Kluyveromyces lactis: one gene and its partners. Each later gene encodes a partner of the first gene's protein in a complex. Links are inferred from orthologs where the notes say so. Each region holds a gene or a part of one and is shown in the gene's direction. Other genes may lie near its edges.

Region 1 (5,064 bases):
CTTTTGTCCTCTTAATATCTTCTTGCTGGGCAGCAGCTTCGGACTCTCTTTTCAAAGATTGGTCTGACATTATACCAATACTATACTTTAACACGAGAGTACTAATACCTGGTACTTGTTATAAGCAATTAAGAAGCGCAGCTTCCAGATTTGAACAACTGACTTCTGCTTCAATGTGATGAGATGAGATGAGATGAGCTCGAAATTTTTCAAGAAACGAAAAGAACCGTTTTGTATGATGGATATTATGAAAAGTTAACGAAGTGACATATACAAAGATGAAAGAGAGTTACACGACTTAATCGAACTGATAGACAACTAATAAGTACCAATGAATACATCCAGCCGTAGCTCTGAACCTTCGAAGGTAGCAGATGATGTTTACGTTCAAACTCGGTGGAATAATGAATTTAAACATGCTGATTATTTACCTGAGTCGTTACAGAAGTGCCTGGATCAAGAAAAGACTGTTTTAGAAAGGTACAGTGAATTAGTTGAGGTGTCGAAAACTGTTGCAAACGAAAGCTCTCAAGCATTAGTCAAACATACCACAAAACCAGGCGACCAACTAGTACGAAGAGTGTTCCAACAGCCACATCAGCAGATTTCATTGATGGAACGTTATGAAAAGACTCGAAGTTATAAACCGCAATGGCATGCACCATGGAAACTCAGTAAGGTAATAAATGGTCATACTGGATGGGTAAGATGTGTATGCGTGGACCCCGTTGACAATGAATGGTTTGCTACTGGTAGCAACGATACAACCATTAAAATCTGGGATTTAGCTGCGGGAAAGTTGAAAATTACTCTAATCGGGCATGTAATGAGTGTTCGAGATATTGCTATCTCAAAGAGACATCCTTATATGTTCTCAGCAAGCGAAGATAAACTTGTAAAATGTTGGGATCTAGAAAGAAATACTGCAATTAGGGATTTTCACGGTCATTTATCTGGCGTGCATACCGTTGATGTTCATCCGAGCCTTGATATAATAGCTACTGCTGGTCGTGATGCTGTAGTAAGGTTGTGGGATATACGATCAAGATCTGAGATAATGGTTCTGCCCGGTCATAAAAGCCCTATAAATAAAGTCAAATGCCTTCCCGTTGACCCACAAATAATCAGTTGTTCCGGGGATGCAACAGTTAGACTTTGGGATATCATTGCAGGGAAGGCAAGCAAAGTTTTAACGCACCATAGTAGAAACATCAGAGACTTGACGCTACACCCAGCAGAGTTTAGCTTTGCCAGTGTATCTACGAACGACGTCAGATCCTGGAAATTGCCCGAAGGACAGCTATTAACCAACTTTCAATCCCAGAACACTGGGATTTTGAATACCGTATCAATTAATCACGATAATGTACTATTAGCTGGTGGAGATGACGGTACTTTGTGCTTTTACGATTACAAAACAGGACACAAATACCAAAGTATGATGACAACTGAAGTTGCTGGCTCACTTGAAAGTGAGCGATCGATTTTATGCAGCACCTTTGATGTCACAGGAACAAGACTCATCACAGGGGAAGGAGACAAAAGCATCAAAATATGGAAGCAAGTCCCTGATGCTACAGAAGATACATTCCCTGGCTTGCCGTGGAATCCCACGTTAATATCTCAAAGATTCTAATCTAGCTGGTGTCTACTTGCAGCGACTTATGTAGAAGTTTGTAGTTTAACTCTATTAGGTCCCCGTTTTCCATCTATCTAGAATATTTCAGTCTGCATTAATTGCGAGGTTTGCTCTAACTGTCATATGATTACAGTCACGTAGTCAAGGACAGGGAACGTCAGGTTTTCTTGTATGTTTGTTCAAGCATGGTGTTTGCTTTAATACGGTAATCTGAATAAATTAACTGAAATTTAGCATCTTCAAAATATTTGAACTTATTAGTTACGCAATAAACCAAATCCAAAAACAGAGCACCTCTGTAAGAGGAACTAGTAAGGCAAGGCAACTGTTTAACAAATATTTTGGGCGAGCTCGCTAATACATGAGTCACGGCGAAGAAAAGGAACCTGGGATTCCCCAGAAGGTTGACAGCATCGATGAGATTTTCGTTGGATGCAAGTCATGGGTACTAAAAGATGGTCAAGATCGTCTTGCTGAAATTCTATCCATTAACAGCAGAAGAGATCCACCTAAGTTCTACGTGCATTATGAAGACTTCAATAAACGTCTAGATGAATGGATCACTGCTGATAGGTTACAGATAGACAAGGAAGTCATTTTTCCTAGGCCTAAAGAGCTTGAAGAGAAGAAAGACTCGAAGAAAAAGAAGCAGCAACAGAATAAAAGTGCTACACCACAAGCAGCCAGTGCTACTCCGGATGGTGGGGATGTGATGGATTTGGATAATTTGAATGTACAAGGGATTCCTAATGAAGATATTTCCAGAGAAGATGAAATAAAGAAGCTTCGTACATCGGGGTCAATGACACAGAATCAGAATGAGGTGGCTAGAGTTAGAAATTTGAACAAGGTGATTATGGGCAAATATGAAATAGAGCCATGGTACTTTTCACCTTATCCAATAGAGTTGACTGATGAGGATGTGGTATATATCGATGATTTTTCCCTACAATATTTCGGATCAAAGAAACAATATGAACGATACAGAAAGAAATGTACTCTACGACATCCTCCAGGTAACGAGATATATAGAGATGACTATGTTTCCTTCTTTGAAATTGATGGTCGGAAACAGAGGACATGGTGCCGTAATCTATGTCTTTTGTCTAAACTTTTCTTGGATCATAAAACGTTGTACTATGATGTTGATCCATTTTTATTTTACTGTATGACTAGGCGTGATGAACTAGGCCATCATATTGTCGGTTATTTCTCAAAGGAAAAGGAATCAGCTGATGCTTATAATGTGGCATGTATTTTAACACTACCTCAATATCAAAGAATGGGTTACGGTAGACTATTAATCGAGTTTTCTTATGAGTTATCTAAGAAAGAGGGTAAAGTCGGATCACCAGAAAAGCCGTTATCGGATTTGGGTTTGTTATCTTACAGAGCATACTGGGCCGACACCTTGATTAAGCTTTTGGTAGAGCACGGCCAGGAAATCACCATCGATGAAGTTAGTTCAATTTCCTCTATGACTACCACTGATATTCTTCATACTGCAAAAGCCTTAGAAATATTAAGGTTCTATCGAGGTCAGCATGTACTGTATTTGAATAGCGATGTGATGAAAAGGTACAAAAAGCTAAAGAATAATAAGAGGAGATCTATAGATCCTCAAAAATTAATCTGGACACCCCCAGTATTTACCGCTTCACAATTACGTTTCGCATGGTAAATAATGCATCGTGAATTGCGGTCTATGTTATTGTTTGTTAACGTTATGTTGGTATATATAAGGGTAGTTAAGTTTCGGTATACGCATCATATGTAATATTATTCAATCAAAAGGAAATAGTCTTACGTCTTTATTAGCCATTTGAGATGCCGCAATCGCACTAGGGACTGCAATACCGCAACAATCCGCCCAAGTACTATGACCATGCGATCCATCAGTACAGCATGAATCATCTTCATGATGATCTTGTGCGCGTGCTGATGGTTCACTAACGCCCTCGGGACATTTCAAGAAATATCCGAAATAGAAATGCTGCATGATTGGTAATTTTTGTAGAACCTCTGCCTTATACATTTTTACCATGCCTTCAGCAACTTTTGACCACCGTTTCACCCCGCTTATATCATCCAACATAGGTGAATGCCATCTCAAACTAGCTGTGGTTTTAACTTTATTAATGAATGCAATGCAGCCGAAATATAGATACCTGTCTTGGAACATTTCTACGACTTCTGGATTGTGAATTGATTTTGGTTTCAAATGCTTATGAGTGGATAGTTGGAATGCACCGAAAAGAAAAGGTAAAAAGTGATAGTCATCTAGACCCCAAACACCATGAGAACCAGCAGGCTCCAACCAGTATTTGAGCTCAAGTGATCTCATTATCCCCAAATATTTAATGAAAAGCATCAATACAATATTCGAGCTGTCGTTCTCCAGATCAAATACCTTTGATTCTGTCAAGCAGTACAAGAAACATATGAAGTTCAATTCATGACCGGAACCATAATCAATCCTTGACCTATCCCCCCAAGAGTTAATGAAATACGTACAAATGTCATCCAACTTCCCTGTGTCAGGTTTTTCAATGCCTTCAAATATCTTTGATATTAGCTCATTAGAGTGCTCCGAAATGTCATCATAAAAATCCCTAAATTCGATCTTACCGAATCTCGAGGTATTAGCATCTTTGATAACCTCATGCTTCCCAATGATTTCTGTTACTTTTGATAACAAGTTAGAGACTCTTTGGACGTTATCACTAATTGGTTGAGTGTAATCATTGTTCTCTCTGCCCCGTACACTCAATGCCAAGGTATTAATAAATCCAATCACGTCTTCAAACGTCTTGGAGTTATTCCATAACTCCATATCATGCTCGTTAATTAATCTCTTAATAGCCATGATTTAGCTGGAAATGCTGGTTGCAATCGTATTGCGTCGTGTACAGCTCTACTTCTGTGATGCTAAGAGCCATCCTTTAATCTTTTTCTTACTAAAAAGGTTCTAAAATATGTTCGGTTTCTTATAGTCCCGAAACGATTTGTTACGGTAGGTAAACAACCTGCACGGAATATAAATAAGTGGGAAAGGATATATATTGATCGACTAAAGAAGGATGTCACTGTTGATGAGTTACGTGAGAATTTGTTAGTGACAGAGTAAGGAAACGGTGAGACTGAGTACAACTCACAAAAGCGGAGGTTTTTTCGTTTTAGCAAGGTTTGGATTATTTTACTTTTAATTGTAGTGTCTGGTGGTAATGCAGATATATAGAGACAATACTGAATGCTGCCTCACCGTCGAGGCAGTATCATATTTTATTTAGTTTTTTGGTAAAGAGTTTCATTCCACTATATTTAAAGTTTTTTCTGAATAGTTAAATTTTGCCTTGTTATCATCGTAAAGACGTTTCAATTCTTCAATGTATAAGGAATGGTAATGATCAATCTCCTCAATTGTT
Region 2 (5,956 bases), about 1.3 Mb from region 1:
TTGCACCGTCTCGAAGTAACTCCATGTTTCGCAATGTGCCATGTGCCTCTTTCAGTTTCTCATCAAATTGTGAAATGGCTTCGGCAATTAAGTTCAATCGAACCTTTATAAAAACCAGGCATTCTTCCCTAGATTTCTCCAAATAGTAATCGTAACCTATATTTTGGAAAAACTTACCATTCTGAAATACTACCTCACCATACTGCCATTCTTCTTCCGAATCTTCGCTCGTGTCAGCATCTCTTATCCTATCGAATATCTGTTCATACAACGGCTGCTGTTCCTTTAAGAAGGTTCTTTTGTTTACCAAATTATCTATGGTACCTTTGACAGTATCCATTAACTCGGCAAAAGAAGCCCCACCTTCTGCTGTTTCCATTGCGTTTCACGACTAAGACTGATTTTCTCAGCCTCTTTACCTGCCTCAGATAACTCACTCTTTCAACAAGCGATGAGATGACTTCATTACGGATGTCAAGTTACTGATTTCCGTTTTTTTTTCTTTTTGGTAGAAGCTCATACAATTTTTGGCATCACCATTTACCTTGACCCAATGGAAGTCACGTGAACAGAAATTCCTATTGTCTACCAAGGTGGTTATGGGAGACGTTCATATTTCCGTAGAAGACGTAAAAAATTTTTTTTTCTTTCCATAAGTTCGGATTTCAATATAGAAAAAACCAATACCCCCATTCACCGGACAAACTGTTGCGTTCCACCCAAACAACCAACATAAAAAGGAAAACCACGCGCTTCAGAACAGTCCGGTGGCTCGTTCAAACCTACTGAGAATCAACCATCAGTAGTGATACTTAAGGACTTTCATCAGTTCTGCAAAATCCGTACCAATAGCTGCTATCTTCAGTCCTATTTTAGATTTGGTCTCCTTGTTTTCTGCCTCCTTCACCGCCACCCGATTGCTTGCCAGTGAAGTTTTTCGCAAAATTTGGCCCCGAAAACAGGAAGAAAATAAATTTGGGCCCCCGTAAAAGAACCAATTTTTTAGAGGGATAATTGTAGTTACCCTTCCTTTCATATTTCTCGCTATTGAAATCTGGAATTCAAAGATCCTTCTTTGGCTTCAGCCGCATAGCTATCAGGGTAACTACACACGGGCATTGACACATTGCAGTATGCCAGCTCCTGCAGTGGATTCATCGAGGTTCAGGCACAGAAAGATCAGCGTGAAGCAACGACTTCGGATCTATAAGAGCCATGAAATTAAGGATTTGGAACAAGAAGATGTTTCGGCCATCAGTTCCCAGCATCAACAGCGAGAGCTGATGGAGATTGAAACTGGTGTGGAGAAGAATGAAGAAAAGGAAGAGCATTTATACAAAATTCTTCAATCCAATCAGCTTCGAGAGAACAAGAAGGATCTATTTATTCCAACACCAGACGCCTCGAAAACTTGGGACGAGTTTGACAGATTTTACCAAGGTGAATTCAAATGTCCTACGAGTTATATCCAGTTTTCTGCACAATTAGAAGATTGCTGTGGTACTTTGTATAATATGGATGAAGAAGACGAAATCTTTTTGGCAGATTTAAATAAATCCCTGGCGGATTCGGTCGAACCTCTAACGGAAGATGAGTTTGAATTAATTATGGCCAACTTTGAGTCTTCCATCAAAGATAGGCAACCCTTCCTGTCCATGGATCCCGAGAGTATACTTTCATTTGCAGACCTAAAACCAACCATGTTGAAAAACGATGTTGGTGATTCTGGCGTAAAAAAGGAACTCGCGAAGGAAATTGGGATGCCTGAAGATGAACCATTCTTGACAATGTTTGACAATAAAAGACCTCTAGGTAAAAGGGAAAAAAATATGGAGACTCTTATCGAATTGTTCGGAGAGAAAATACACGATCATTGGAAGCAACGCAAGATATCACGTCATGGTTGCGATATCTTCCCACAATTGAAATCGGAGCGTAATAATGATAAAGACGATAATGATCCATATGTGTGTTTCCGTAGGAGAGAGCTTCGACAACCTAGGAAAACAAGGCGGATAGATGTTCAGAACTCACAAAAATTGCGACTTCTATGCCAACAATTGGAATATACTAAAGATTTGGCACTCACTGTAGCCAAAAGAGAAAGAGCAGTATTAGAAGTCCTAGAAAACGAAAAGTTCGTCTTCCAAGCGCGAGCCCAATTGAAGACAATGAAGAGAAAGTTAGGCATAGATGCCGATAACGAGGATTTGTACTCGGCAAAGAAACAAAAACTCGTGAGTTCGGTGCGTACAATCAAACAACAACAACAACTTCTTCTTCAAAAACAGCTACAGATACAACAGCAGCAACAACAGCAACTACAACAGCAGCAGGCAGCCATTACTTCAGATTCATCTGTTAAACGTGCAAAATCTTCAAAATCGTCGAAACTTCACAAAGAAGACAGTGGTCTATATGCTGATGAGAAAGGAAGCGAGCCAAAGAAGAAAGGCCCAAAAACTGGTTCAAATAAAAACAAAGAACAATCACTGTCATCTGCGCAGGAAATTGGAGCTCAGTCGCCTGTTGCCAATGTCTCGAATGTACAACAACAGCAAAAACAGGCATCTTCTCAAGTATATGTTAAATTGCCTAACTCTAAGATACCTGATATCGTGTTAGAAGATGTCGGTAAATTGTTGCATTCAAAGGAAAAAAGCACAAGGAAATTTGTTGAAGACAGGATGAGAAAAAGGAAACAGGAAGATGGTGACATCTTTTTCAACCTCACTGATGATCCTTACAATCCTGTTTTCAACCTTTCAATACCAGATAACGTCAGCCCCCAAGATGCTCCATTTTCTTCTGTTGCTGGCTCAAAGTTCGAAGTAAAAACATCCTACTATTCACCTAATCTTCAAAATTATATCACTGGCACTGCGAATGATATAAAGGTTTTTAACAAGGAAGGTGAAGCTGTGGAGAACAATGAGTATAAAAAGTTAGAATTTTTCAATCCATTTGATAACGAGATTCATACTCATTCTCGTGAATTTCCAATCGCTTTCAGACGCCGTCGCGGTCGTTTCAATATGGAATATATTGACCAAAGAAAAACTGATCACAATATTAACGACATGTTATTACAATTTATTGATTTGGATGGAATACAGAAGCAAGAACTCGATAATGATGTTATAAATGTGTATGATTCTAAACTGGATGATTTATCCAGGTCATATTATCACTGGAAATATGATTCCAATTACAACATTTACGGGTCCAAGTTTTCCGACGAACCGGCGAAGTTGAACCAAATTTCAAACGATACTCAGGTGGTAAGATTTGGAACCATGTTAGGATCCAAAGCATACGAGCAACTAAGAGATGCCACCATCAAATATAGACAGGAACAAATCAACAAAAGAAAGAAACTGAATTCCCTGCAACAACAGCAAATGCTACAAAAGGGTCAACAGCCCATTAACAATGCTCCTCATTCACAGTCCTCTTCCCCACCATCTCATCAGGACACTAGGAAGAATCCAGGATCAACTCCAAATCAGTCCAGTCCGCCAAAGAAACACGTTACTCCTAACGCTGCTGCATAACGAAATTGTAAACTTTTGATGACACCAAATCCCATTATAAATATGAACTTGTAATTAGTATTTTCCGCATTCTTATGCGAATCTGTAACAATATAGATAATTCATGTTATTAAGCATCGTGAGCTGCATTATACATCACGTGACTGAACTGACTTCAGCTTCTTTTTTTTTTGGTTTACGCATCTAAAATCGGCATCTTGCATCTAACATTATGTACCATTGCAAGCATTGATTGATGAACTATGCCCAGAATAGTGCATTCACTAGGAACACTAAATTTAGAATAATACCTAGGATACTGGTAGTGGTTTACCAAGCCAGTTGTTAAAATGGTCCAAATTGACTTACCGGCTGAGTCTGCTGTTCGCATCAGGTATCCTACATTGACGAAGAAACTAAGGAAAAGAAGCACGCTTGTAATCATAGTGGGCTTGCTTCTGCTATGCATTATTACCTCCACTCATATATCTCATAATTTCAGCGGATCAGATACACCTAAATGCAGATCAATCTATATGTACCCTTCGTACGCCAGAATTGATGGATTTGATTCAAGACACACTAAACTCGCCAAAAAATACCACCTCTACCTATACAGAGAACAAGGTAAAGATAAAGAGCCGAAACATGGTGATGAAATACAGCTTGATGGTATACCTGTCCTTTTTATTCCCGGCAATGCAGGAAGTTTCAAACAAGCTAGATCTATAGCTGCGGCAAGTGCCAATTTATACTTTGACCATAAATCAACTATTCAAAATTCCAATGCAAAGAACATGGATTATTTCACAGCCGATTTCAATGAGGATTTCACTGCCTTTCATGGGCAAACAATGCTGGATCAGGCTGTATACTTGAACGATGCAGTACGATATATCTTGTCAATGTATGCTCAAAGCGCTGCCTATAAGGAATCCAACCGCCCACTACCTAAATCTGTCATTTTATTGGGGCATTCCATGGGAGGAATAGTGGCAAGATTAATGCTTACACTACCGAATCACATACCAGAGTCTGTAAATACCATCCTGACGTTGTCGTCCCCTCATTCAACAGCCCCCGTCACTTTTGATGGTGATATTCTAAAACTTTATGACAGGGTAAACTCATACTGGACCTCAGCCATGAATGATATGGGCAGTTATTTTCGAAACAATGTTTCTGTGATCTCCATAACAGGTGGTATTTTGGATGACATATTGCCTGCCGATTATACAAATCTCCAAGGTATTGTTCCTGAATCAAATGGCTTCACTACATTCACTACTACAATACCGGAGCTATGGACCCCAATTGACCATTTGGCAATAGTGTGGTGTGATCAGTTGAGATATCTTTTGGCAAAATATATTCTCGAAATTGTCAATGATGATGCAGGAGGAAAAACCGCGACTTTAGATATTAGAATGCGCAAAGGAAGAAAGTTTTTCTTGAGTGGACTTGAAAGAATTACTGATGCAGATAAATTGATCGATAAAAACTTAAGCGCCCCAGCCGTAGATTTCAGCGACACAGAAAGTGTCCCTGAGAATCATTTACTTGTCTTAAACTCTTCTGAATCAATGTCCACAGGATATGCCTTCAATATTTCTAAGTCTGTCGACTATAGCTTCGAAATGCTCACATCACTCGTCCAATTCGATATTTTCTTTTGTAAAGACATATATGGAAAGGATTGTATTAACGGATTTTCAAGCTTTTCCAAAGTTCCTCACTCCACAAGTCTACAAAAATTCCCAACTGACTCGTCATGGGGAGAATCGGTGTCTCCTTTTCGCTTTATCTCATTAAATGGCTCTCTATTGCAGGGTTTCCAAATAATAGTTTTCCAGGGCTCAATGAAAAAGAAGGAAGACTTTGTTCTAGCAAAGTATAGCGATGATAAGAGCATTGAAACTGCAAGCGACGGATTGTGGAAACTATCTTTATTCCCTTTTAGAATGTCCTTAAAAAATAAACATTCTTTTGTCCATGGCCTAGCATTCCCAAATTTATGGTCCTCGCTAATCTCCTTCAATTTGAAAACAACTTTCTCTGACGAAATAGATAGCATGTTCAGACCGATGATGAGACAGTATGTTAATAATCCATATGAAACCAAATGGCATTTATTGGCTGCCTCAAGTTCTCATGAAATCAATATGCACAATATATCTCCCTTCATACCACTTGATGATACCATAGACAAGTCATTAAATTTGATGTTCTTCATCCCACCTGGAGAGGAAATTTCTTTAAGACTATCCATAAACTGGAAACTAACATTGAAGATGCTTTATATCAGATTCAGATTAGCTTTTGCATCAATTCCAATATCGATAATTGCTTTAGTCTTATGCTACCAGTTTTACTACTATGACAGCCCTGATAGTAAATTCATCAGCTTTGATACTGGTTTGATG
Region 3 (5,227 bases), on another chromosome or scaffold:
AAGAATCTGGTGGAATCGGTGCTGTGTTTGCTGAGTTAAACCAAGGTGAAAACATCACTAAATCCTTAAAGAAAGTAGAAAAGTCTCAGCAAACACATAAGAACCCAGAACTTCGTGCCTCAGGGAAGGTTTCTGACAAAGCTGTTCCTCCACCTAAACCAAAGAAACCATCTACTCTGAAGACTAAGAAGCCTCCAAGAAAGGAATTGATCGGTAATAAATGGTTTATTGAAAATTATGAAGATGAAGCCGAACCGTTAGTGATCGAAACTAAAATTGACGAATCTGTTTTCATCGGTAAATGTGTCAACACATTGGTACAAATCAAAGGTAAGGTCAACGCAGTTACTGTCAATGAAACAGAAAAATGCAGTTTAGTGCTAGATTCTTCCATCAGTGGTGTGGATATTATTAAATGTTTGAGATTTGGTATTCAAGTGGAAAACACCCTGCCACAAATCACCATCGACGCGTCTGATAGCGGCTCCATTTATTTGAGTAAAAACTCTTTACAGGCTCAAATTTTCACCTCTTCTAGCACTGGTATTAACATCAACACTCCAACTGGTCCCGATGGTGACTTCGTTGAAGTTCCACTTCCAGAACAGATGATACACACTTTCGTCGAAGGTAAACTACAAACCAAGATTTACGAACATGCTGGTTGAATATCTGAATAGTATATCTTCTCGTTACTGGGTGTTAGTTTATTCTTTACTCATTAGAACATATAAATATATATATATAATTAATATAATATGATACGATAAAATAATGATAATAATATGTACAAGGTTTCCAAGATACACCATTCTTTTTAAATTGTCATAGTCACAGTGTATCCATTCTTTCGTGTGTATTTGTTTTCGTCAACTTATTTACCCCTTCTCACATAGTACATGTATGAACGTTCATGTACAGGTAAGCCGAATGGAGTAATAACTTCAGATTGACCTGGACGTGCAACAGGGTCTCTTAAGTAGACCGCATGACATGTCTTGAATGATATTTCCAAATGGTGTGGTAGAATGGCGAATGGTGCTAAGAAGGGTCTTGGTTTCCACGGAGTGAAATATGGTTTAGATGGATCGTTACGACCAAACACACCCTTTTGCCATGGTAAATTGATAGCTTTTTGAGCAGCTGGTTCGTTTTCCAATAGTTCAGGAACATTGATCTTTTGATGCAATGGTAACTTTTCAGCCCACTTAGCATCGTATGGAATATCAACAGAATCAACGGATGCCATCTTGTCATTATAATGTTCTCTGACCACGGTTTCATAGAAATGTCTCAAATCAACTATAGTATGATTGATGGCTCTGAATTTTTTCTTTAAGGCATCGTTTGTGTTATCAACAGGTTTAGTTATTCCTGTAGCCACCTTTAGCAATTCACCTTGTTCATTAGGAATTTCAGCCAAAGGCTTCCCTGCTATCGTTTCCACAGCCTTGGCAGACTTGACTTCTCTATAAATTTCGAATCCTTTAGCTGCCAAATTTTCGTTATTGTAAAATTCGCCCAAGAAATCTTTTACTGCCAATTTTTCTACATCGTTAACGCGGTTAACGGTAGAAAAGATCTTAGCTAACAAATACTCGTTACTGGTTTGGTCTAATTCTTTCCTCATTTGAATGTGCATGGTTTTGTTGTAGTTTTCGAGGAAGGATAAAAATTCCTGTTTCTTTGGATCGTTACTATCCATAGTTCTTAGTTTTTCGATCTTTTCATCCCAGAACTTTCTAGGATTCTTTCTAGCCTCTAGAATATATTTGTTCCATAGGAAAATTTGGGTATTATCCACTTTCAAAGCTTCCTTCAAGCTAGGTTTCTTGGCACCAAGAGCTTGTAGCACTTTTTCGGGTCTGACGTTGAAAACATCACCAGCTTTCAAGGCATATCCCGGAGAAGTAATCTTTACACCATTCACATGGACGTTGCCATGTAAAATAAACTGACGAGCTTGTCTCACTGACGAGGCAAACATAGCTCTAAACAAAGCAAAGTCTAGCCTTTTCTCTAGTACAGCGTATGTTTGTAATAGAATGGGCGTCGGTTCGATATCACCACCCCTTAGAGAAGCATCTAATTGAGCCACAGAGTTTAGCTGAGGCTCGAAAACAGACTGCCACCTACTCTCTGTTAAATGTTCGCCATGGTAGGCACGAGTTTCCTGTTTAGAAGTCCATTTCTGTTGGTATAGTGTTTTCGATCTAAAACTGACCTGAGATTTCTTATACAAGTTGAACAAATTGTACTTGTTAAAAGAGGTACGAACCTTCCCTCTGGACAAAGAGTTCAGAAGTACAGCTTTCCTAGGCATTGCTGGTCTTTTTCTTCACAATGTATTGACAAAACTAACCAGAATTGACTGCTTACGGACTCTTCGAAATGGAAATACATTGCATATCCGAACTACCTGCATAATATTTTTCAATCAAACGCTATCTAATGCTTGAAGCTTTCCGATATTGAAAAATTTTTAGAGGAATTTCGTGACATATGATATCAAATATTAGCATTCATAGTTTAGAAAGATGAGAAACACCATAGAACCATATTGAGATGGACTGGCGAAGATGGTATCAAGCCTCATACGATCTGCTTTATCAGCGATCTTGATAGGAACTTTATTATATCAATTGCAAGAACGTTCTTTTGGTGTATAAGGTTGTGATACTTCAGATAAAAGTAATACGATACGGTTCACTGCGATGTCCGCTGTAAAGATAGAATCACCTAGAGGGCAAACATGGAGTAAAGTGGAGGAAATAAGGCTGTTTAAATGGATGATGCTGTTCAAACCTGCAGGAATACATAAACACTTCCATATGGTGTGTTTGCTTGAGCGATTGAACAAGCCAGATCAGTATCCAATCAAACTTTTGCAAAGCGATAAAGGCAGCTCAGATAAAGTGTTTTCTGGGGAGGACGTTTGGGAACAATTGAGTCGGTACTATAATTTAGAGAAGGCAGATGAAGTAGAGAACCAGCCATACCCTGAATTTTATAATGATGACGGACCAACCGAAACTACAAACAAAAAGACAGAAGGGGACGCTCAACTAGATAATGATGATGACAGTGACAATGATGTTGACAATTGTGACGAGCTTAAGAGAAATATAATACCATTACAAAATAGACTCCAGCAAGAGACGGAATTTGAACTATCGTGGGAAGATTATGGAGAACTTATGTTAGAACATGCTAGGGATCATGAGGTGGAAGATATTAAGCAAGAGGAGACCGCTTCTGCGGATGACAAGGCAAAACTGAAGGGTGCGGAATCACAGGATACGCAAGTAGAACAAGAGTCAGAAGAGCCACGGGAACGAGAAAAGGATATCGATGAAAAGGATACTGAGCAAAATAATGTACAGGCGAAACAAGAAATGGCGACCACTCCGCCAGTCAGTGTTGGAGAATCTGTGAGCGAACTGGCGAATGAACCTGTCGATGAACCTGTCGATGCTCATAAGAAACCAAGGACAAGACGCTCTACAAGGTTGACACGTTCACAAAAGCGAGGCATTGATGACGAAAGTGAAAACAAAGAAGACCAACCCCATGGCGGAAACACCGATGAAAAGGAAGATGTCGAACACGATACAGAAGGGAGATCTGGTAGCGAAAAAGAATCGACTGCTGATGCCGCAGATACTACAGCTACAAAACAAGTCACATTTGCTGATGAATCTGAAGGTGCTGCCAAGGAATCAGCTAATTCGCCGACAGGGAAAGCAGAAGAGAACGAAACGGAATCATCTCAACAGCCGCGCCCTAAGAAACAAAAAGTTGCCGCTGCGGAGGAAGTTCCTGAAGATCTTGCCGACGTGGATTCTCCAGCTAGGAGAACAAGAAGAAAATCCATAACAAAACCAACTACAAGGCTCTCGAGCAGGCTTAGAAGCAGGAAGTAGTTGTTCTTGATTGTTTTTTCAATAATGCAATAACAACATAATATAGCTAATGGTTTATATTATAGGCATTTCGTTGATGTACAAAAATTGAATGTTAAAATGGAAGCATACAAACACTACGGCTACAATTTGATAGCAATTCCCATGTTGAAAGGTTGATGAGAAGGTACGGAAAGATGTAAAGCTATAATAATAATAATGGATGGGACCAATTGGAAGGAATCAAGGGAGAAACCAAAGAAAAAATGTGAAGGAAATTAATAGTATGTGTTTTATTCAGAAGAATGACATTATACATCTAGTTAATCTTCAACAATTCAACATCAAAGACTAAAGTAGCATTTGGTGGGATCAAACCTGGGAAACCACGTGGACCATAAGCGTATGGGCCTGGGATAGTTAGTCTTGCCTTTTCACCAACGGACAACTTTGGAATAGCAGCATCCCAACCCTTGATAACTTGACCTACACCAATGTTACATTGGAATGGAGAACCTCTATCAACGGAAGAATCAAACTTTTGACCGTTTTCCAAAGTACCAGTGTAATGGATTGTTACCAAATCGCCTGGTTTTGGGAAGTTGGTACTGTCACCTGGTGATAATCTTAGAATTTGAACGTTACCTTCAATTGTTTCGGACATTGTTTCTGCTGTTTGATGTGTGATAGCTGAGTTATTTTAAAACTGCAATACAATAACGGATTAAACTGACACAAAATAGCACTCAATTGGCCTCGTAATTGCAACAGTTTCGTGTAGAATGTAGGAATCCTTATTATAGAAATGAAAACTTTTTGTTTTCTGAACGATAATGATTTCTAGAAGCAGTGGTAACGTATTTAATGACTTCAAGACTTTCAGCATTTGTCACGTGACTGCATTCTTTCTTTCTTACTTAAGCAATCACTTTTCGCGGAAACATGCCTGTAAGAGGTTTGAGCAGACGCAACGGCAGCACAGCCAACATTCAGGTCAGTTCAAATAAAGATCATCGAACCTTTTAGCATAGGGTTTTTAAATCACCTGAAATTGTACATTCCTGAACAACAACCGACGTCACTAAGCCGTACTACATCGAATATCCTACGAAATATCTCATTTGCTATTATGCTCTGTCCGCATCTGTATGTCCAGAAGTGTTTGAGATTTATAATTGCTTGATAATTAAAAGGTGAATAACTATAGCAAGAGCCAGGTTTTCAAAACTTTGAGGTATGGTGCTTTGTAATTCAGCCCTCATTTGCTTTATTTAGAATTAACGCCTCGATACCTGTTAAGGGAAAGTGAGCAAATTCTTGGTTAC
Region 4 (6,179 bases), on another chromosome or scaffold:
TTGGATTTGGGTAAGAATCCATAAATTTGTTCAAAATGGACTAGCTCTTCCACTGGAGCATAGCTTATAAATACTTGAGCTTCTTCTACGGTAGAGTCAATATCATCCAGTTCTAAATAGAGCACAATATCATTAGTTCTAAGATCAATATCAAAGTGAGCATTTCTATGGTCATTGTCATGATTAACAAAGTCCAATAACGGGACCAAAGTTGGGCTGACAAAAAAATCATCAGTATCCTCTCCGGAGGATTCGGGTATCTCCAATATTCTGGAGATAACACTACAATAAACAGTGGATATTAATTTTTCATAGTTCATACCTAGAAACCTCGCTGATATGAAACGGTTTATAATTTCAATGAACAGTTGTTGAGGAAAGTTCAAGTACTCTTTGTAATATTGGTTCCACTTATCGGCATCTTCTTGAAAAGTATTGCAGGGAAGTGGGACAAAAGTCTTTAAAAGAACTTCGTTCAAGTAAAAAGATGCGAATCCAGTAAGTTTGTAAGTTTTATTATCTGAAAGAATAGCCTTTAGGACCAAATATATCACTATCAGGTTCGTTTCATTGATAAATGCGTGGTGATTTTCATCGCTTAAGAAAGCTGTCAAGTGGCCCTTTATGGAAGCAGTAACCGCATTTTCTGATGTACTTTTAGCCAATATGTCTCGTATCGATGTCATTGATATAGTAGCAGATCTCGGAATCCTGAGAAGTTCAAACTTACTGTCTTTCTCTCCTTTAAGTGTTCTTAATTTGGTGAAATTGACAAACACACCGTAACCGCCGGTGTCTCCATCAACCACTGACTCTCTGATAGTAGTACATTCACTCTTGGTTATGGGAGTATTCTCTAGTAGCCATTCAGTTGCTGCTTCCATCTTATATTGCTGTTTGTTTATGCTTGTTTATGGATATTATTGCATCATAATAATGGTACTCAAGCAAGCAGGATACTTTTTATATAATTCCATTGATATGACATAGAAGAAACGAAGCAAAAGGTTTTACAGTTTAATTTAGGTCAGGTTTGAGAGTTGATTTAAGTAGGGTGTATATATTGAGTAGTGCTTTGCAGTTGCACTTCGAGTCGCTAGTGATATGTTCCCAGAGGTATCTTAAATATGATCACGTGCTTCTAGATGAACCATGACTCCCCTACTGCAGTCTTCTAAAAGATAAAACTTAGGATTACCGTAATAGCAATTCGCTGTACACGATAACAACTGACAAGGGACTCGCTGATTGATATTTTAATTATCCCTTTCATTTTTACATTCTTGACAGCATCGCATGTCATCTTTACCTTTTCGAAAAGAAACTATTCTTTAAATTTGATGCAAACCTGCATTTGGCGAGCTCATCACTACTTTAGAATAGATTCGAGGAAGTTTCAAAGAGATAAACAATAGTTATTAGTTGGGCTTTATTAAACCAGCAACAACACTCTATTTTAGTCTGCAATGGTCCAGGTTGTTAAATTAAGTGCATTATCCAAGAAACGTGCAGTCGATGAGGAATCTGATCTTGACATATCAAGTACAGACTCAAATATTTCAGACCAAGAAAACGGTCAAGAGGAACAAGAAATCATCAACATCGATTTTGATTTCTTCAATGGTAATCCCGACGTTGATTTCCATGCTTTGAAGAATCTGATGCGTCAGTTGTTTGGACCACAGGAATCGAACAGAATTCAACTAAGTGAATTGGCAAATTTAATCTTGGACTCACCAACTACTACCATCAAAACCGATGGTAAGGAGTCTGACCCATACTGTTTCCTATCATTTATCGATTACAAGGCCAACAAAGATAGTGATTATGCCAAATATCTTCGTAAAGTTGACCCCAAGCTAGCTACTTTCCTACAAACTATAGATCAATCGGAGAAGACTTGTTCGTTAGTCTTGAGTGAAAGATTGATTAATATGCCACCAGAAGTTGTGCCGCCATTGTACACTATCACATTAGAAGATGTGAAGCTTGCGCTTGGGGATGATAAAAACTATGATTTCTACCTAATCGTTTCAAGGAAGTACGAAGTGAATTTTGATATGGACGAAGACGATCTAACATCGAACCAAGCTGTCCGCAAGAAGGTAAGACAAACAAACGAAGTAGACTATTTCCATGAAGAAGATCGTTTCCTTGAAAAGCTAGCCAAAGTCCATGTGGATTCCGAGGCGAGAAAGGGTCTTATTACATCGTACATGGTTTTGGACCATGCTGGACTAATTAAATCCATCGAAGATCTAGATGCGGCCATCAAGACCTGGTGAGTGATGTAAATGTTCAGTAGTTACATTGAGGAAGGTGATGATGGTATGTGGATTAATCCCGTTCTGGGAACCCAACAATTAACGCACGTGACCTGATCTTTAGTTACCCTCCTTACATGATTTCGGCCTCCCAAAAGAAAAAAAAATCTTTCAAGGAACAAAAAAATTGCTGAACAACATGAAATACGTACTTATATAGTAGAAATCGAGAAAACAAGCCGTAATACGGTAACAGAACAGGACCGTGAGAACACTATTCGACTCAGTTTCAAAAGTACCTGACACAGAAAAGCCTTGTTTGGTTGGACGATCCTGTTGTTTGTACAGAAGCGTGCTGTTTCCGAGACAAGCCCTCGCTAAAAGAAAAATCAGAGGACCCAGTTTCCTTTTTTTTTTTTTGGATATTTTCCTATCACTTGCCATTCAGACCGAAAGTTATATTTTTTCAACGTGACAGATATTCACAGAACATCTAATAGAAAGTAAGGATTTCAAGGCGATGAGCAGTGCAAGCAAAGGGAATGCTACTGGAAGTAAGAGCCCAGAGCAGCTCTTAGAGGAGAGACGGCACTTGCTAGTACAATTGTACTGTATCTCACAAATTACCGAGTTAAAAAACGTGGAGAATCATGAGAGAATAGGGAAGGAGATAGAAAAGTTTTTAGATCAACATACCTTGATCAAGGACAAGCCTATAGATATTAATGCATTGCCTAAGTTTAGGCCGAGAGACGTGTCGTCAGATAGGAAGCTGAATAACAGGAGTAAGAGTTCTTCACCGTCAGAAGTGAAACGAGAATTGAAGAAACAGCGGTCGAAAGACGTGTCGCCAAGTGGAAGCGAGGAACATGATGTGGATACGCAGACACTCCCGCAGTCTCAAACAAGGGTAGTTCCACGAGTTCAGTCACAGCAGTCAATTCAGCAAAGTTCAAGGCAATCTATGGTGCAAGCGCAGTCATCTCGACAGCTGCAGCAGCAACAACTGCAAAAGCAGCGATCGGTGTCTCCCACACAGAAGCTGCCGATAACACATAATAATGTTCCTCCTGTGGTAGTTCAGGCACATATGGAACCGAAATCTGTCCAATATCCGGAGACCCAATCAAAGCCAAGTACTTCTGGAAAGCGTTTGTTAGATGAGGAACAACAAGATATTTCCGAAAATCAAATAAGTAAAAGGCAACGGCTTGATAGTGGAAACCTATCTAATTCTACCGCTGCACGTAACGCTGCAACAATGGAAATTCCGCCTCATCCTTATTCTCAGATGATAGACATCTCACAATTGCATGCTGACCCAACACCAATTGGGGTGAAAGAACCTCAACCCTATATTATAGAATCTATTATCAACAATGTATCAAAGGAAGAGCGTAAGACGTTTTTCGAAGATGACATAAATGTGAAAGAGGCGGTATACATGATTACGAAAGAGAACGCGCCAACCAAGTTGGCAAAGGGTATGCCCATTCAAGAAATCAAATACTTATCCCAGACTTTGCCCTTGCTGAGATTGATACCACAATCTCAAAAAGCATTGACGACTGATCTGATTAATACTGCATTGAATGAAAGACGAATCACTGTAGTAGCATCAAGGATAGAGGAATTGAGAAGGCTGAATCTCTGGTCACTTAGACAACCAAGAAAATTTATCGATCCCGTTACCGCTTCACAACCTGTAACTCATCATAATGTGTTGATTGAAGAAGCAAAATGGATGCGTGAAGACTTCCGTGAATCGTTGAATTATAAGATAGCCATGTGCACTCAAATGGCACAGGCAGTTATGGAATTTTGGACTTATGGTAAAGTATGCTGTATCAATTGTAAAAGTATTCCACCGCCATCAAAGGACATAGAAGATATTGCTTCCTCCCAAGATATGGGAACAAAAATCAGTACAGTTGAGCCAGAACAAAAAGATAAAGAATCAAACACAAGTCCTGATCAATCCAACGATGATGGGTCTTCTAAAATTGCTGAAGATGTGGAGATGTCAGAGGATGGTGTAAAATCAAGTACCGGTTTAACTGATGGGAGTGAAGCGGTGGAAGAGAAGTCTGAAAATGGTATCAAAGAGGGGGACAAGGAAACTGATAAAAACTCATCTGAAGAGCCTACCATAGACATACAAAAGTTACTAAAGAGAGTTAACCCCAAAGATGAAATCGTCGCTCCATCTCTTCCGGTTACCTCCATGGAAGTTTATTTAGCTAAGAAATCATCCTCTCCCTTCAGGAATTACATTGATATAAAGGAATTATCAACACTGGGAGCAGCCATTTCAAACTCACTCCCTTTGTATGGTCTTTTGGACGAAAAGAATCTCGATTCTAGCAGACCATTGCCCTTTGAACCGGTTTCAAAGGCAATTTCTCCTCTTGACGAGGACCATTTCATGAAATTAGTAGAAAAGCAATTTGTTGACGAAGAACCATCTCTAGTTCCTTTATCAAAACGACGTGGTATGTTTTATGGAAATAGACGTAGCCATTATCTTCGCCCTCCTAATGCGCCATCATTACGCTATTTGAAATTTCGTACACCCACCATCTGGTTACCTGAAGATGATCAGGAGCTTGTCAAAAATATAAACCAGTATGCCTATAACTGGGACCTCATTAGTTCTCAGATGTCCAATCATCACAAAAGAGAATATGTTTCAAACATCGAACGTAGAACCCCTTGGCAATGCTTTGAGCGGTTCGTTCAACTAAACGAAAAGTTCAACATTGCAGATATGAAGGGTCCAAAGGCTCATAATGCACAAATATGGTTGTACGAAGCTCATAAATTACAGCAGCAGCAAAAAAGGAGAATATCTCCCCTTGGTGTGGGATCGGAATCCATACAACGAGGACATAGGCGTTTACGCTGGGCAAGTATGTTTGAGGCAATGAGAAAGTGCATTAAAAAAAGAGAAAACGCACCCAGACCAAATCCTTCGCAGCCGCGTAAACCTTTTGATGTTAAGAATATGAGTGTTCCAACCCCTCAAGAAATGTCAGACTTAAAAGCTCAGCGTGATGAGGCCTTGAGAAGGGATATGCAAATAAAACGTGCTGCCAAACAAAGGATGCAGATGGCTCAATTGCAGCAAGGAAAGCTTCCTCTCACTACAGCATCAAGTCCGAATTTGCCTATGGCAAATAATCCTAACTCAAAGGATTCAAGAATTAGGTCTAAGCAGTCCACTCCCCAGAGTGCACCACCACTAGGTGAAAAAGAAAAGGTTACAACTCAAACTCCCACACAGAGAAATACGAAACCGGCTAATAAACGTGAAATCATTGAAGGATATGCCAAAAAAATACTTTTTCAGAAACCCAATTTCACTCCAGAACTTGCTCTAATGGCTGCTGAAAATATTTACAGGAGCTTGCCATTGTCTGATCAACAAAGGAAAACTGTAATTTATGACAATGTTGCACAACCGAAAGTGCGTCCACCAGAGATGAAACATTCTTCTCCGACGCCTCAAGAGATTTTGCAACGTGCTCAGAAAAAGTGAATACAATTAATAATATATAATCAGTTCATAATCACAACATTGATTCAAGCAAAGAATTACGAATAATGAGTCCTTTTGTTATAATCATTATTTCAATATATATATGTATGTAAATTCAAACATTTGGGAAAGTGTAAACAGCAGATTCCTCCTTTGGTACGCCGTTGGCTTTGTAGGATACTTTCCATTTCACTCTGAGTGGCTTTGGGGCATTCTTCACTGCGTTATCAATCCAACTTTTTTGATGGATTCCATCCTTTGCATAGGATGACAAAACAGTATTTGATTGTGGTAAAAGTCTCAATTGTTGGGCTTTAGGAACCGCTAGCATTAATGTAAGGTCTGTAAGTTGCGAAATTGACACATTTGAAAAGAAA
Region 5 (4,718 bases), on another chromosome or scaffold:
TCAAGCCTCCATATCAGGTACTCATCGATACAAATTTCATCAATTTCTCTATTCAAAAGAAGATTGACATAGTGAAAGGTATGATGGATTGTCTTTTGGCCAAGTGTAACATATTGATAACAGACTGTGTGATGGCTGAATTAGAGAAGTTGGGTCCCAAGTATCGTATAGCGTTGAAGCTAGCTCGTGATCCGCGAATCAAGAGGCTAAGTTGTTCGCATAAGGGTACTTATGCGGATGACTGTATTGTTCATAGAGTGTTGCAGCACAAGTGTTACATTGTTGCCACGAACGATGCTGGTTTAAAGCAGAGAGTGAGGAAAGTGCCGGGGATCCCATTGATGAGTGTTGGAGGACACTCCTATGTGATTGAGAAGCTACCGGGTGTGTTCTAGGATAATATAAAACTGGGATTTAGCATTATACATAGCGGTATGAGTATGTATATATATATATAACTTTTCTTAACAGGATAATAATTGTACATTAGCACAAACGGCTTCTCGCTTATGTCTGTTTCAAGCCTTTTACCAAGTCTGGGTCCCTTCCTGGGGAGACAGAACCTAATTCTACAGGAGATGCGGCAATGGTTTCACCACCGTATTTCTTTCTCAAGTATTGTTCCAATGCAAGTGTGTTCCTGGAATTTGCCTTATAAGCAATCCCAACGATATCACCAACAATGGGAATCAACCCTAATAGGAAATCGATACAGATGTTCCCCAAGAGCTCTGCCTGCAAGGGCACAGGCAAACCACCTTGAATCTTCTGTGCTTCATGGAACACTGTCCATGACAAGTACAAACATATTAGGTCACCGACCACTGGCAAAAGTCCAATGATACCGAGCCATCCAACTCTCATCCCAAATATCTTAAACATCATATCAAGCCTGTAAGCTCTTTTCCTAACCCGTTGCAACACTGTTCTGTCATTTAATGGGACATAATCTGGAATTGCTTTCTTTAGCTTCTTATGCACAACTTGGCTATTTCCAGTCCAAAACGACTTCTTCACAAAAGTAACTTCCTCATAGTACGGATCCTCACCCTCACCAATCTTAATGTCGCCAAATATCTTGTTGGAAATCTTGCGTAGAATAAATGAATAGAACACCATGGTTTAGATTCAAGGTAAAGTTAACAAAAGAAACTGTCGTCGCCTATAATCGTGGTAAATTCGGTCTTTAACAGAGTTCAAATAAGCTCATATGCCAGGACTAGCTTTTCTGAATAATAAATACTCCCAAAAACTAATGGAAACATGTTTGTGAAGTACCAAACCATGTCCCTTTATCATGACTTTTTCTATTTCAAAGCCTTTAAAGCCAGGGAAAGCTTTAAAGCAATCTGGCAAACAATTTTCCATTGAAATAGCAAAGATACGTATGTAAGAGAAGAAGCTGTACAAAGAACGCTAGGCAGGCGCAGTTAGCATTTTGGAAGGCTGTATGGAAGAATGAGTAGCATTAACGAACGACCACAGGACCCTTCGAGTGCGTTGGAGCAAGCTACACAGGATGTTGCGAACTTGAAATCAGAGTTCCATCATATCATGGATGAAATGCAGGTAGCAGATAAAACCCTGGTGAGCTCAAGAGAGCAGTACCTACGGGAGGATTACGTGCTTCATAAACTTGTGAAACAGCATGGTTCGTTGACCAAGGACCCTAAAGAGGGATCCATTACTGAGACGGTAGAAAAAGAGATGAAGCGATGCGGCGATTTGCAACAACAGAAATGCATATTAGCCAATACAGCATTGTATCTAGTAACGAAACATTTGAGCAAGATCAAGGCCAACATCGAGTCACTTGAGGAAGATGGGTTACTTGCACCCTTGGATGATGAGCTTTCGGATAAGAAGGCTGGATCTGTTGATTTAGGAGCTGGAATCGCTGGCCTTGGTAACGGAACGGCTGGATCAGGTTCCAGTTCTGGTAGGAAACGGCCAGCCTCTTCATCATCAGCGAACGGGAAAGGACAGAAGAGAAAACAGCAGAAGAAAGAGAGATCTAGGTCTCATCAGCGTGCAGGAACAGTGTCTCGTGACGTGAGTCCTAACGCTGGTATCGGTAGAGATCCGACTTTCGATGCTTTGGCATATAACGATGATTTGTTCAAGATGAACCAAGGCGGCGAAGAAGACGACAAGCAGTTGTACTGTTTCTGCCAAAGAGTATCATACGGTGAGATGGTGGCGTGCGATGGTCCAAACTGTAAATACGAATGGTTCCATTACAGTTGTGTCAACTTAACGGAACCTCCAAAGGGTCAGTGGTATTGTCCAGAATGTCGACTGGAAATTGCTAATCAGAAACTAAATAAGAAGAAGAAGAAGCAATGATCAACGAAGGTTGGTATGACCCATTCATGGTCTTCACATTTCTTCACTCCTGCCGCTCGTATATATATATATATATCCTCATATGTAAATATTTTCAATTCTATCATGTAATGTATTATTATAATTAGCATTTATTCGATTCTTATTCTATATTCGACTTTGACATCTTGTGCTCTTTGTGAAGAGATGCAGAAAAACAGGCGAAAGCTATCGAAATAGTGGTCTCTGAAAGCGCACCAATAGGCAACATGGCTACACTATTTGGAAAGACGTTGTCTCAGGTTCATCCGAAGCTTCGAACAAATGGTATTGGTATTGCAACTAACCATAGACGCATTTCGCTAGGGTTCGATTTAGTGAGCAGAGACAAGAAGAATCCGTTATTACGGAAGTATTTAAGGAAACGCAGACATCGTGGGTTGAGGCGAGGGTTGCATCCAGATGAGCAAGGTAGTTATCACACTTTGGATGAGGATTTTGGAAGCAGTGTTAGAGAACCGTCTGTTTACGACGATTTAGACGAAGTTTTGGAAGATATAGATGAGTACGATGAGGACGGAGAACCCTTAAGTCGGACGGTGTCATTGCCCTCGAGGGTATCAGAACCAAGCAACGTATCACAACAAAATCTTGATTGGCTCTTAGAGGAGCACGAGAGAAGGTTCTCATCATCGCAGAACAGTGAGAACGACGAAGATGAGGACCTTGAGAATGGGACCTCAGAACAAGCGGATGTAATAGCATATGACGACTTTATGCACCGGGTCAGACAGCAATTGCAACAAGACTTCCATGATAGAGCATATGCAGGTGGTGCTGGCGGTAGTGGTGCAGGCGGTCCCAACAGGAGACGTGGGTCGCTAATATCAGTAACTAGTCGAGGTTCAGTACCGCAGGTATTTCAAGATGTGGGCAGCATGAAAGAAGAAGATTTAAGCCATGCTAAAGTAACCGCAAATAGTGAACTCAAAGTGTTGGCATCGTATTCAATCCCATTGATTTTCACTTTCTTATTGGAACAGATGTTCCCCGTGGTATGCTCGTTAACGGTGGGTCATTTGGGGAGGACAGAATTGGCAGCGGTCTCTTTGGCTTCAATGACCACAAACATTACGTATGCTATCTTTGAAGGTATAGCCACGAGTTTGGATACACTATGTCCATTAGCCTACGGATCTGGGAATTATTACAGTGTTGGTGTTCACATGCAGCGCTGTATCATGTTTTCATTTACAGTATTCATACCGTTCGGATTTATATGGTGGTGGTCTGAAACATTGTTGACCTTAGTAATGCCGCATGAACCAGAATTAATCCATATGACCGCGAAATTCCTTCGAGTCAGTATACTCGGTGCTCCGGCCTACATCATATTCGAAAGTTTAAAGCGGTTCTTACAAGCACAAGGTATCTTTGATGCAGGGATCTACGTTTTAATGATATGTGCTCCTTGGAACATGTTTGTTAGTTACACTTTGGTGTGGAATGAAAGAATAGGTATGGGATTTATCGGAGCACCTATTGCTGTTGTACTCAATTTTTGGACTATGGTCACCTTGCTATCGTTATATGCTATATACGTGGACGGATACAAATGTTGGGGTGGGTTTAACTCCAAGAGTTTAAAACATTGGAAAGCTTTGTCAGAACTTGCTGTTCCCGGTATCGTGATGTTAGAAGCAGAAGATCTATCCTATGAGATTTTAACCCTATTCAGTTCTTATTTTGGTACTCCATACTTGGCCGCCCAATCCGCTGTTTCCACCACGGCAGCGTTATTGTACATGATCCCATTCTCTGTCGGTATCTCATCAAGTACACGAATTGGAAATTTCATTGGATGTAGAAGACCCAACTGTGCCAAATTGAGTGCTGAACTCGGTATAGGGTCTAGTTTATTCGTTGGACTGCTAAACTGTTTGATAATCAACGTGGACAAGAGGAGCATAGCAAATATCTATACAAAGGACGAAGAAGTCATCCAGTTAATGTGTCAACTGTTACCGTTGGTCGGTATAGTGGAGATATTCGACTCTTTGAATGCGATCAGTGGATCATGTTTACGTGGTCTTGGACTACAGTACATCGGAAGCATAGTGAACCTTGTTGTGTACCATCTGGTAGCCATCCCATTGGGAATTTTCTTGGCATGGTACATGGACATGAAATTGAATGGGCTATGGATCGGTATCGGTGTTGGAATGTTAATTATAGGATTAGTGCAAAGTTATTACGTGATTTTTGCAGACTGGAACGACGTCATGGAAAGAGCAGAGAAGAGACGGGATCATGATCGGGATGCAGACTCAGATACAGATTCGCTAGAATCTGTATCCTCAGTAGAAGCTTATTCAGACTCAGAATCAGACTCA
Region 6 (4,088 bases), on another chromosome or scaffold:
TAAATGCGTACATGTGTTTGAATAATTAGATAATTATTCCACGTCTCTACGGAGTTTTCTGGTGTCCCTTTGTTTTTCCAGGAGGAAATTCTAAAAAAGAAACGTACTACGTTTCTTTTCGGAGTGAGTCAAATCTTCCCGGAACGCGTCTTTTTCTATCATTTTATACGCGAAAATGCTTGTTGAAAGAGAATGGATGCCTTCTTTTAGGGTATTGTCTTACTATTTTGGTACCTTTTCTTGAAAAGGATCAGCGCCTCTAAATTATCCTTCTTCGCAATTACTATTCCAGATCCGGTCACGTGGATTAATACTATTTGGTTTAAGTTTTCTTGGGTTTGAAGATTATCCGGTACGTACATTATTATATTTTTATACTGCCAGTTGAGTGAGAGGTAGGGCAGGTGGATATCGCCATTCATTCGATAGATTCCCACGCATGTAACGATTCGCGCAACGGTAGTCTGCATAAGGTTGTTGCAGATTGCCATGATTGGAAGTTTCTGTCTAATTTGGTCTGTTTGAAAAGGATCTTAGGCCTCACTGTGGTTAGATCGTTTAGGGAGACTGAAACGTCATTCAATATTCTTTGCTCTAAACCCTGAATGTTCGAGGTACTTCCTGTCACTAGAATGTTCGTAAGCAGTAGACTTTGTAGTTGTTCAGAAGTGTAGCTGTGCGTTGGGATGTTCGTATCCTCGTTGTTGTTGCTTTGGTTGCCCGAGGAAGCATTACCCGTCGTAGTGGAGGACCCTGTAGTGTTACTGCCTGCGGTGGACATTGCATTGACACCATTTAATAAACTTTGGATGCATGCTCTGATCAATCCAATGACCCCAATTAATTTCTCCGGATGTGGCTTTTTCTCTATGTCATTGACATCTGCCATTTCTACATCTCCGTTTGCATTGTTACTTACGTGTATCACTGGCTTGAACAAGAGTTCTCCAATGGTGTATAGCTGTTTGTTAGTGAAGGTGAGAGTTTTCTTATCGAGTAGGAAATTTTTGGTCAAGTCCATTGGTGACACCATATGTTGGTAATGAGGAGCCACGTCATAATTAGCATCCAATTCAATCGGAGAAACTTGCAGCATGCTATTCTTGAAGTTGGGTAGCCATTCAGTGGCATCCCTCCAGATTTTCGTTGATTTGCCCGAATCCTGCTTCAAATATTGATCGCAGATCTGCCAGTTTAAGAATGCACCACCGATCTTGTTCTCCTTGCGGTATTGTTTGAAAAGAACACCATCAATGACAACGTCCACTTTCACTCCACTGTGGCCAATGTCCACCACAATTCCACTCGATCTTCCCTGACTCAACGTGTTGCAGACAGCCTCATTCAAAAGTTGGACCATTGGAAAACCGTACCCCAACAGTTGTTCCATAAATCTCTTACGACGCGCACTGTTTAAGTCGGAAGGTAAGACAACACATACTGGATAGTCTTCGAACTGTATGCCTAGGCTTTGAAAGATGTACTGCCATTGAGCATCCATCATATCCCAATCATTTGGAAGTCCGTTCTTATCGTACAATTGGTATATTTCAGCGCTCTCATCGTCGCAATGCTCTATCATTTCCCATTTACCGAAAACTTTAACATCCGATCCATCTCTTTTATAGGCCAAATATTGAGATGGTACAATTAACTGCGGCAAATCTTGGTTGCTGAACCCACAAATAACCCTAGTCTGCGAGATCTGTATCACCACACTCTTCATGGTCGGCATCTTGAACTTGCAATAGATATAACGTAATCACTCTATATGCACCAGAACAAAGAGAAGATCTTCAATTTTCAAAAGCAGATAAGGATTAACTTCTTCAACAGCTACCTGTTTTTGCCGATTATAACTGCTATCAATGGAAAATTATGGCTCTTAAACGGGATACTAGAGTTGATAACACTGTTTATGTTGATGTTTACATGTTGGCTTTTTTTTCGTCGGTTCTTCGAATTTCAAATTCCAAACTGAGTTCCAGTACTGTTACCCGGACTCGTCGCCAATGTTAATATTGTTTGAAAGAACGCACTACTTCAACATCCAATTTGCATATATAATAACAAGAAAGGATGAAACAGACGATCCGCTATCGAACGGATTTGAATCTGGTTTTGATTGTGTTCTACTCTATCGGTAAAGTGATTTAACATAACCTAACACTCATCTCACACAACTATGGACGAACAAAAGAAAGAATACGAGAAACTAAAGAAGAAGCTTCGAGATGCTTTAGTACAGAAGAAACAACTCGAAGCCAAGTGGAATAGTTTAGAGCAAGAGGTATACGATAAAGAAACAGAGTATCTATCACAGAAACCATCTTCCAGAATGGGGAACATTCTGCTCGGGTTTCAGGGTTTCAACAAGAGCAGTTCTGCGCAGCAGATATTGTCTGACCACTCACATTCGTCAAATGCCCAGCCATTGGACGATAATGATCGCATTTTTTCATTAAGTTCGTACCTTTTTGCAAAACAATTGGCTGCTTCCAATCATCAAGAACAAACGAAGTCCAATGATTGAACAGGAAGCTTATCTGTTTGCCCTCTTCACTGAGACATATCCAGGTCCAGGACACCGGACACAAGAGACAAGAGACAAGAGACAAGAGAAACTAAGGGAGGGGGAAGAAAAACGGTATTATTTTACCCCGCATCTATTTCTCTTGAAGCACTCTTTAAATGCTCGTGATAATTAATCACTTTGTAACATTATGTATTCTCTCTTCCTAAAGTATTTTCAATTACTTACCCTTAATTTTTGAGAGGCCTCTTTTTCTTTTCATCCGTCAGATCAACGATCATAGAATCAGTTTAATCAATAAAACTTGCGTCAAACTACTCGTAGAAGCAAAGGATTGAATCGTTTACAGATTTCCAGTCCAACCGAATTGTCCCAATGTCTTAGATGAGACTCAGGTGCTATGTAATGGTGTATGTATGTGTGGTTAGCATGAATTCTAACCTCCATTCTTGATTGTTAATTGGAGTATCACTCAGCCAATCAATTTTCAGAAACTGCCAAAACCTTGAAATTTTCAGCTTCAAAGAATTAGATATTATTATAACAAAAGATAGAGCAGCAATTACACATTCAAACAAACCAATGAGAACAAAGACAGAATCGTGAATTGCTGTCGATTAGGAGCGTTTGAAAAGGTACCCAATTGTTGATCGTTTAATCGGATTAGACATCAATTGAAGCAAATAACTGTTTTTGTCTCTCTTAGTGAGAAAAAGTAGCGAAAAAAGAAAAAATATGTGGAGGCGTTCTATCTCGATTTTAAGGCCGTCACCAACAACAGTGATTCCATCCAATGTGTTGAGCGGATCACAATTAGAATTGAAACCATTGTTTGATAACCATGCTGAAACCACTAGAGAGGATGGATCTAATGTTACTACTACACAATTCCAACTATTGGGGGACAACCCGACATTAGCCTCGATACAAGTTTCACCTTCGATCCCATTATATGTGAGGCACAACTCTATCGTATCGATACACGATTCCGATAGATTATCCAACGTTAATGTTTCTTATAATAAATGGTTCACGTTTTGGCCTACTCTTTCGTTAAGCAGATTTGATAAACTTGTGGGAACCAACACCTTCAACTGTTTGGTATCATCTCGTAAGTCTTCAGATACGCTATCTGTATTACAGTTAAACGGTACACAGGATTGGATAGTATTGAACCCAAAGAGCGTAGTATCTTTTGAAGGGAATTCTTCGCTCTCCATCCAATGGTTCCACAAATGGTTAAACTATTTCAGATGGATATCGAATAAGGTGACGGTTCTCAGGAGCTACGGGAAACTGTCGGGACGTGGTAACGTTTTGTTAAATGGGAATGGATCTGTCTATAAACTAGAGTTAAAATCAGAAGATGATCAAATTATATTACAAAAGAACAGAATTCTAGCCTTCAATGGTTTGAACAAATTAGATTTTAAGCAGGCTGTCACTTTTGAACAGACCTCAAAATCGCTTGAATCTGATTCACAACCAGAAACGATACACAATAACGAGGACAAAATTGCCTTCATGAAAACTGTTAACACAACCTTAGAGTTTT

The links.
Region 2: the proteins of ESA1 (region 1) and EPL1 are in contact, whole or in part, in a crystal structure (PDB 5J9U), measured with the Saccharomyces cerevisiae proteins. The link is inferred for Kluyveromyces lactis from reciprocal best matches to the Saccharomyces cerevisiae genes ESA1 and EPL1. Residues at the interface, in NP_014887.3 of Saccharomyces cerevisiae: Ser153, Met154, Thr155, Gln156, Asn157, Pro158, Ala162, Arg163, Val164, Arg165, Ile171, Gly173, Lys174, Tyr175, Glu176, Ile177, Trp180, Phe182, Pro184, Tyr185, Pro186, Ile187, Glu188, Leu189, Thr190, Tyr196, Ile197, Asp198, Asp199, Phe200; in NP_116629.1 of Saccharomyces cerevisiae: Lys75, Asp119, Tyr120, Ile121, Pro122, Thr123, Pro124, Asp125, Ala126, Ser127, Met128, Thr129, Trp130, Glu132, Tyr133, Phe136, Tyr137, Thr138, Gly139, Ser140, Phe141, Glu143, Thr144, Thr145, Ser146, Tyr147, Ile148, Lys149, Phe150, Ser151.
Region 3: ESA1 (region 1) and EAF7 share a complex: the UniProt entries of both Saccharomyces cerevisiae proteins name them as parts of the nuA4 histone acetyltransferase complex. The link is inferred for Kluyveromyces lactis from reciprocal best matches to the Saccharomyces cerevisiae genes ESA1 and EAF7.
Region 4: ESA1 (region 1) and EAF1 share a complex: the UniProt entries of both Saccharomyces cerevisiae proteins name them as parts of the nuA4 histone acetyltransferase complex. The link is inferred for Kluyveromyces lactis from reciprocal best matches to the Saccharomyces cerevisiae genes ESA1 and EAF1.
Region 5: the proteins of ESA1 (region 1) and YNG2 are in contact, whole or in part, in a crystal structure (PDB 5J9U), measured with the Saccharomyces cerevisiae proteins. The link is inferred for Kluyveromyces lactis from reciprocal best matches to the Saccharomyces cerevisiae genes ESA1 and YNG2. Residues at the interface, in NP_014887.3 of Saccharomyces cerevisiae: Asn226, Arg242, Lys243, Ser439, Gln440, Trp445; in NP_011958.1 of Saccharomyces cerevisiae: Leu5, Glu8, Gln9, Ile11, Gln12, Ser15, Asn16.
Region 6: ESA1 (region 1) and EAF6 share a complex: the UniProt entries of both Saccharomyces cerevisiae proteins name them as parts of the nuA4 histone acetyltransferase complex. The link is inferred for Kluyveromyces lactis from reciprocal best matches to the Saccharomyces cerevisiae genes ESA1 and EAF6.

What each region holds. Positions count from the first base shown.
Region 1 is NC_006042.1:1,031,280-1,036,343, reverse strand, and holds ESA1 (NuA4 histone acetyltransferase complex catalytic subunit ESA1), read left to right. Parts: upstream 1-2,000; coding exon 2,001-3,320; downstream 3,321-5,064. Other genes in the region: pseudouridine synthase PUS7, read right to left, coding at 1-70; mRNA splicing protein PRP46, read left to right, coding at 332-1,636; peptidylprolyl isomerase RRD2, read right to left, coding at 3,423-4,505; DGA1 (diacylglycerol O-acyltransferase), read right to left, coding at 4,947-5,064. UniProt on the Saccharomyces cerevisiae protein: Catalytic component of the NuA4 histone acetyltransferase (HAT), a multiprotein complex involved in epigenetic transcriptional activation of selected genes principally by acetylation of nucleosomal histones H4, H3, H2B, H2A and H2A variant H2A.Z.
Region 2 is NC_006042.1:2,335,809-2,341,764, reverse strand, and holds EPL1 (Epl1p), read left to right. Parts: upstream 1-1,133; coding exon 1,134-3,554; downstream 3,555-5,956. Other genes in the region: BUD27 (prefoldin-like protein), read right to left, coding at 1-379; BST1 (Bst1p), read left to right, coding at 3,884-5,956.
Region 3 is NC_006037.1:1,006,246-1,011,472, forward strand, and holds EAF7 (Eaf7p), read left to right. Parts: upstream 1-2,714; coding exon 2,715-3,923; downstream 3,924-5,227. Other genes in the region: SRV2 (adenylate cyclase-binding protein), read left to right, coding at 1-668; NAM9 (mitochondrial 37S ribosomal protein uS4m), read right to left, coding at 875-2,323; peptidylprolyl isomerase FPR1, read right to left, coding at 4,222-4,566. UniProt on the Saccharomyces cerevisiae protein: Component of the NuA4 histone acetyltransferase complex which is involved in transcriptional activation of selected genes principally by acetylation of nucleosomal histone H4 and H2A. The NuA4 complex is also involved in DNA repair.
Region 4 is NC_006041.1:1,911,465-1,917,643, forward strand, and holds EAF1 (Eaf1p), read left to right. Parts: upstream 1-2,784; coding exon 2,785-5,802; downstream 5,803-6,179. Other genes in the region: CTM1 (cytochrome c lysine N-methyltransferase), read right to left, coding at 1-884; protein-transporting protein BCP1, read left to right, coding at 1,467-2,285; KLLA0_E21473g (uncharacterized protein), read right to left, coding at 5,918-6,179. UniProt on the Saccharomyces cerevisiae protein: Component of the NuA4 histone acetyltransferase complex which is involved in transcriptional activation of selected genes principally by acetylation of nucleosomal histone H4 and H2A. The NuA4 complex is also involved in DNA repair.
Region 5 is NC_006037.1:628,200-632,917, reverse strand, and holds YNG2 (histone acetyltransferase YNG2), read left to right. Parts: upstream 1-1,458; coding exon 1,459-2,346; downstream 2,347-4,718. Other genes in the region: rRNA-processing protein FCF1, read left to right, coding at 1-395; KLLA0_A06996g (DUF4112 domain-containing protein), read right to left, coding at 508-1,119; KLLA0_A06952g (uncharacterized protein), read left to right, coding at 2,595-4,718. UniProt on the Saccharomyces cerevisiae protein: Component of the NuA4 histone acetyltransferase complex which is involved in transcriptional activation of selected genes principally by acetylation of nucleosomal histone H4 and H2A. The NuA4 complex is also involved in DNA repair.
Region 6 is NC_006041.1:566,891-570,978, forward strand, and holds EAF6 (Eaf6p), read left to right. Parts: upstream 1-2,185; coding exon 2,186-2,533; downstream 2,534-4,088. Other genes in the region: ARP7 (Arp7p), read right to left, coding at 419-1,735; AIM24 (Aim24p), read left to right, coding at 3,269-4,088. UniProt on the Saccharomyces cerevisiae protein: Component of the NuA4 histone acetyltransferase complex which is involved in transcriptional activation of selected genes principally by acetylation of nucleosomal histone H4 and H2A. The NuA4 complex is also involved in DNA repair.